Arabidopsis thaliana: one gene and its partner. The protein of the gene in region 2 interacts with the protein of the main gene of each other region in a pairwise test. Each region holds a gene or a part of one and is shown on either strand. Other genes may lie near its edges.

Region 1 (3,858 bases), about 18 Mb from region 2:
TTTCTGAAATCAAAATTTATGGAAACAAAAGTATCTTCTTATTTATCAAAAAGTAAGTCACAACAGCCCAAAATATCTGTAGGCTAGAAACTGCATTAATTATTTTAGCATATCTGATAGTATGAGAATTGAGTGTATAGGGGGGGAAGATAGATGGACAAAACAGGATTCAAGTCCGAAAGAGTTGGGCTATGTTTTCTGCTGAATACACATTTCGACCCAATTAGTTAAAATAATTCATCCTTTTCGTTTTCTCTAGCTAATTAAGTTCCTACACATATCCTTCGAGAACAAAAATCTAACACACATGCATGTTAGCTGCTGAGTCATTTGGTAACACGGTTCACATACAAAAGGGCTTTTTGAGACAAAATATTTATAAATGAATGACTAATCATCATATGGAGATTTCATCATTAAGCAACTTAGATTCTTTGTAATCTAACCCCAGATATTTCTGAAATAGAAGATTTGTTAAGTTTTTTTTTATATAAATAAAATACAAAATTTATTGGGATAAACGTGTTTACATCAATTGCATCGTTTGTTTAAGTACATGAGTAAAATCAAGAATTTAGAATGGAAAGAAGAAATGTTTGTTATGTCGATCCGAACCAAGATTTGTTAAGTTAAGACCTCTTTATCATTCATCATACATATTTATGAAGAACACCGAACATGCAAAAGAAAACAAAACAAAACATAAAACTCAAAAAGAGAAAAAAGAGAGATTCGTTAATCTCTATTTGTACACCTAAAACTCAACACCAAAACTTGTAATTAAGACCAGCCACAAAAAAAGAACCATTCACTCACTGCACACCAGTCCAAGCTCAATCTTACACGTGTCCTCATCCTCAGACGTGCCACACCTCTCTAACTTTCTTTTCTTCATCGGTACCACCACGTGATTTCCACGTGCTAAAGGCTCCAACCCCAAAGTCAGCTCAAGCCCGATCCAAGTCTTTGGTTCCTCCGTCGTCGTCTCCTCAGAAGACACCGGTGACTCGTGACTCAGTGACGACTCATGACTCAAAGACCTCACGTTTCTCTCTTCCTTGCATGCACCACGGCTCCGTCTCTTAACGTTCTCGTCCCTGCTTGACACGTGTCTTATGTCGCAAAGCTTGTTGTTAAAAGGAGGTGCTTGACCAGTAACCGCTGCGTCGCATGCGATCGGAGTCACGGGTGAGCCTCTCATTACTGCCTCAACGGCCGCTTGACAAAGATGCCAGTTTCCTGACCACAATAACCCCACGGATCCGTATATCGGATTCACAATCCTCCCGCATGCTTCGTACAACAATGATCTAAATATCGCTGCAAAAACAAACAAAATTACCAAATTATTAGATGCATGTTAGAAAAATAAACAGGATCCTACGTTTCCTAAAAAGATGTATGAGAGATTCCGTCCAGAACTTCGCAATTAACCATAACAAACAAAAAACATAACATGCATGGGAAGTTTGAATACCAGGACGGAGGTGGTCAGGACCGGTGTTGAGGAGGTTCATGAGCCCCGCACGGCCATAAAACTTGGCGAGGAAGACGGTGGCGTTGGCTTGAGATTCAGCGGATTTGATCCATTGAAGACAAGGTCTTATGCTACAGTTTTCACTGCAGCCTTTTCGTAGAACTCGACATCCGTTACAACTCATACGCATTTTAGATGGGAAACAAAAAACAAAATGTGTTTTGGGTTTGAGGGAAAGTACAGAATGGTCCAGAGATCTTAGAAGAAGGAAGAGGTATTTAAGAGGGAGAAGCTGCTTGGGTTTGGTCGGAGAGATCATAACAATTAACAAGGAACGAAGTTGTCGTTTTCTTTGTGTGTAATTTTTTTCAAAAAATAAATAAATTTGTGACGTGCATGTTATATTTTTCTCTAAATGGATATCGTAATTTTCAAAGTATAAATAAGATGTAAAGAGCCCAAAAAAGAAGAGTTTTGTAATTGTTTTTATATTTTGTATGAATTATTTTAGTAAATTACGAGAATATTACCTTTATTTAGGTAAGTAATTTTTTCAAACTGTTATTATGTGTTTATAAAAATAAACAAAGCTTCTCATACTATTTGTATAGTTATAAAATTTTAAAATCTTTAATTTTCATGGTTTATACATTTTGTTTGTTTGTTTGTAGTTACTAATAATATATATTTTTTTTTTTGGGGAAAATAGTTACTAATAAATATGAAATATATATGGAAGCCCGTTGAGCTTTGTCTTTGGCTCTCATTCGTAGCGCGTGATCATCATCGACGAAAATGTCCAAAACCAGTCAAGTATTTTATTTTTTTGGTTAGTTGTTTATATCTGACCGCCGTTTGTTTTTGTCTAGACCGCAGTTTAATGTTCGGCAATTAATAATGGACTGCCAAAATATTTGGAGATAGTAAATTTTGAAAACGAAATTACTAGAGGGTAAAATGGTAAATAGAGAGATGAGAGGTTCGAATTTCAACGTTCGCATGCAAGCGCAAAAGTGTGATCGCGTGGCGGAGACATTGTGGTAACAGAGTTTGGTCGAATCGCCGCGTTTTCTGAGCGGTTACACATTATGTAGCTCCATACATAATTCTGATAATTAATATTAATATCCAAATACCTACTTAATAAATTATCTTAATGGAATCACTTTGACTTCTATAGGCTCTAGTATATATCAACATTAATATCGAAAGACCTACTAATAAATTATCTGCATGGATCACTTTGACTAATATAGGCTCTACAATTTTTACTTTTAGGTGAATAGATGCCAACGTTTATTGGTTAGATTTGGTAGTTTCTTCCATTGAAACACCCATCATTGAATGGTGATGTTTGAATTATTTCTATTACTTCTTTAATAAAATAAAGAAAAAAACGCACACACAATCTATTAATTATTATTAAGGTTTAGAAACAGTTAAAAATTAAAATTATAGAAAATATATAAATATCTATCAAAAATGTTAAAAATGTCAAATCGCAAACAAAGTTTAGATAAAATATTTATTTAAGTATATCAAACATTATATAAACATTTATAATTATTTATATAAAGATAAAACTTAGTTAAAAACTAGAAAAATACAGTAAAACAAAATATATATAATTTTAACGGATAAAACGATTTATTTTTTCTTCTGCCGGCTATCACACGATTAATACGATTGTCTCCACTTTAACTAATAATATAATCATGCGAACAATCATAACTATAGCTAGTAGACTCTATAGAGTCAATTTTTCTGAAAGACCAGTTACAGACGAATGTGAAAGCTATATATGCTATATGATATATACTAGTATGAAATAAATTTGTTGTCGTTTCAGGTAATTTAGAAGACCTGTATAAAGTTGTACAATAATTTTCTATATCAAATAACTTAACATATTGTAAGATAAACAATAAGTCAATAACCTAATTCCTATATGTATATATATTATGTTTTTGAAAAATTCAAATGGTATATATACATGTTTAGATAGACGTATGGATAAATACAGTTTCAACCAAATTATCATATTGCTATAGAAGTGATTGACAAACAGATATGATAATTCATTAAAATAAAAATGCATAGGTAAGAGGTAGAAAAATAGATGCATACAAAATATAAGCATACGAATAAAATTTTTTGTCGTCTTTCTTATTGTCGTCTTATAATAAACAAATAAATACAAATTCTCTTAATTGACAAATACGAAAATGGATATGTGCTAGCTGGAATAATACAATGATATAATCCTTTATAGAGATTTATCTGATACAGAATCGAACGTTAACTCTTCCTTTTGGTTTAACAATTTCTATTTCCCCCGAATTCTATCAAAAGTGAAGCTAGAAAAATCCAAATCTAGAACT
Region 2 (3,785 bases):
TGGTTCTTCCTCGGCCAAGATATCCACCGAGTTTATCGAGACAAGTAGCATTACCGACAACAGCACGGCCACCGATATTTTCGCCATCCTATCTCCGGCAAACTTTTTTGCTTCTTCTTCTTTTATTGGTTTATAAAAACAAGAATGATTTAATAACTAGAGGTAGCTCGTAAATTTGTCTTAAGCTTGTAAGAAACAAAAGTCTATTTGTTTACGTACGTGTTTTTCGTGTTTCGTTTGGTTTAATTTGAAGTTCCTTATTTATATGTGAAGGAGATTTAAAATTTGGTTTTATTTACTGGTGGAACGATCCAACGTTGGTAGTGGTTACGCCGAAAATAGTACGACGTGAGATGGCTTTAGTTTCATGCCAGTTCCAAATTAAGCAACAGTTTTATGGTTTTCGATTTCATTTTTTTTTTGGGTCCATATAGTGAATTGGTGATATTCGTTTCTTTTAAACTTTATTATAAATGCTTTATCTCTAAGAAATTTAAAACGTTATAAATGTATGCAATTACATGTGATGTTTAAGCTTTAGTTTATTTTATAAACAAAAGTGATTGTTAAAATATTTATCAAAGCTCTAGATCGAGATGCTAACCAGCTGATGATTGGTTGGAGGATTTTGCAGGGGAATATTCAAGTCTTTGCATTTGGGATTTCAATCATGGTACAATGTATACGTTTTTAATGGTAAAAATACTCTCATTTTCAACAAGTTTTGGAAATTGAGATTACGAAATGGAAATCAGTTGTTTTACTAGGTGGAATAGATGTGAACCAACTATACTGTATAATGATAAATCCCCGTCCATAGACAAATTAAAAAAATAAGAATTTGACAAAAATAGATTAGAATTATAAATAAACAAAACCAAAATAGCTAGATGATTTGTTGTGAAATAAGATTAAACAGAGCAAATAAGAAACACAATGAAAAGGGAATGATACACTCATCAGTATAAGAAAGAAGAAAACATATCCCTTTGAATCCTTAGACATATAGCAATCTTCACATCATGTAACAACTTCACTGGATTCTCATATTCTTCATTAACCTGTCAAAAAACAATAGATTAATTAATATAACTTGACACTAAGATACCACTTTTGTTGATCACCGACCAGTGAAAAATCAGAATCACTTTTGCATTAATATATACCGTTATATTTAATCGTATTCGAATAATATAGAATTAGCTAGATATATACATATATAACATTATATCATTCATATAAGATTCAAAAGTTGAGGACAATGTGCATGTGATGGTGCACAAACAGGATTAGATTTCATGTGACTCCTTTCCTTTTAATGAGAATGCCGGAAATAGAAGGGATGGTGCGTGTGGTTGCATGTTTCTTATTATTATACCTATATTATTATTATTATATAGTCCAACGTTCATCACTAGTTTTAATATACTACTACCAAAAGAACTCATTTATATAATCAGATTTTGAAATTATTTGAACTAAACATATGTTTCTACTAAATCACTATAGAAATCACAAAAACGACCACAAACTCTAAAAGATTTGGTAAGGACAAAAAGATTTCACCTCAAATCAAAATCATCGATGCCTCTAGATTTACTTCCAACATCGACGGTTTTGTATTTAGGCAAAGGTACTAAGTCTTGTTCGATGTTCATGAGATCTTCAACGAGGATGTCGTAGTGACGTTTAACTTCCTCTGCAGATTTACTTCCAACTGCTTTAGCCACGTTTTGCCAACGGTCGGGAGTGTCTTTATCGTAAACGGCTAAAGCCCTCTCGAACATCTTGTTTTGCTTAGACGTCCAAGAAGAGCTCGAGCTCATAGAACTAGAGGCCATTTTATTTAAATTCTTTTGGGAATATATGAGATATATATAGGGAAACAAGAAAAGAGAAAGAAAAGGGATCGATACTAAGTTACGAATACAAACGAATGCCAAAATAGGCTCCTTATATGGAGGAAAAGAGAGTTGAGAGATTCCGCAAGTTGTAGTGTTTATCCAATATTTTTTTAGTTTGTATACCAAAATAAAGAATTATAGTTCTTTTTATGGGTCTACATTTTTTAAGGTCCATAAGGGTTTTCAGAGCATAGTGTCGTATTGTATGAAGAATGTCGAGAAGTCAACCGTTAATTAACGCTCGTATGTGTTCTTATGAAGTTTAAAATTAGTAACCTCTTTAAATTATAGGGTTTAAGCGTTTAATGGTTATTTGTTGAGCCTATGACTTGCAGGGTACGTAGTAGAATCATCTTTGGTTTTAACATAATAACGTAAAGGAATCATTAAAAACTCAAAAGAAAAGTTAAAGACATTGGTATTCATAGAAAAAAAGAGTGGACAAACAAGATCCCGTCTTTTATACTCCAATGAATCAGATTCACCTTAGCTATAATGTAAGTACGTACAAAGTTGTGCTAAGACGATGAATTATGATAGTTTATTCACATACGAAATAGTTTTTGTTAAACTGGTAAAATGGTTTTATATAATCATCGTTTGATATGAAAAGAAAAAGAAAATTCCTTAATATCGAATTAATGGATTCGATATGTCATCTCCTGTACTAAACTTCATAGAGATTTTTCATAACTTTTATTTGTTATTAACTTATTATCGATTAATATACAATAATAATAATAATTTGAAGGAGATGGGATCGATACTCTTGGGCACTTTGTTTTAATTCTAATAACTTATCCCGTGTGATGGAGAAAAGTAAATTTGGACGACAACCATTTTGATAAGAGCCACTTAAATTTAGCTGAAAAAAGAATAATACCATAAGAGATATTATCGTCTTCTTTTGGGATAAAATTCCAATATCCCTATCTCTGCATTGATTCTCATTCATAGTTGTACATTTTTATCCAATCCTTTCTTGTTTTATGAAAATGAATTCATTTTAATAATTATAAGTTATAACAAATTATATGTTTTTTTTGTCAAAAATATAGTAAAGTGTATGTTTCATTATTTCTTTTTCTTAACAGAAATTATATATGTATAATTGATTCTGATAATTATACAAGAATTTGGAGATTCAGTGTGGTCTCATAGCATAATAATGTCTTTTTGCACCATTCCTCTATGGTGCAGCAAAAACACCACATAACGTTTATTGTGAAAAGTTTTAAGACACGTCGTACTACAATCTCTTCCAATATAAGTTAGAAGATTACACGACTCATCTAAATTATGTGGTTTTTACTCCATATTGACTAGAGTGAGAGTGATGACCACACCATTCACCATATCCTACTCTCTATAGGTTTTTGTTAGCTATGAGAGAAATAGTTTCGGTCACTATGGCAAATTTAATCCCGACATGAATGAATTATGATGTTTTGGTGAAGGACATTTTTGAGAACAACTAATTGAGTCTTCATAGATAATACATGATCCGAGTTTGGATATTGGATGCACGAGTTTTTGATGTAGTCACCTTTGTTATCACTCATTCTTACTCAAGTACTAGGTAATTTGTTTTTAGTTTTTAGTATTAGTTACTAGTTAGACCATTTTATTTTGTGTGGATTGTATATTACTATATTTGTATGTATCATTTTTGTGCTTACTATATCAAAGAATTGCCATGATTACCGCAACTATACGAAACCTTTATCTACTTCTGACTTAGAAACACTAGTTACAATTTGGAAAGAACGCAAACTTATTTAGAAAAATGCACTCACGCCGCCTAACTTTGACATACAGTAAAACCTCTATAAATTAATAATATTTGGACCAATAAAATTTATTAATTTAGAGAGGTATTAA

The links.
Region 1: the proteins of RL5 (region 2) and LBD40 interact in a two-hybrid assay, tested with the Arabidopsis thaliana proteins (one large-scale study listed by BioGRID).

What each region holds. Positions count from the first base shown.
Region 1 is NC_003070.9:25,051,610-25,055,467, reverse strand, and holds LBD40 (LOB domain-containing protein 40), read right to left. Parts: upstream 1,796-3,858; 5' UTR 1,668-1,795; coding exon 1,478-1,667; intron 1,321-1,477; coding exon 809-1,320; 3' UTR 604-808; downstream 1-603.
Region 2 is NC_003070.9:6,755,450-6,759,234, forward strand, and holds RL5 (RAD-like 5), read right to left. Parts: upstream 1,972-3,785; 5' UTR 1,842-1,971; coding exon 1,567-1,841; intron 1,062-1,566; coding exon 1,034-1,061; 3' UTR 788-1,033; downstream 1-787. Other genes in the region: AT1G19500 (uncharacterized protein), read right to left, coding at 1-87.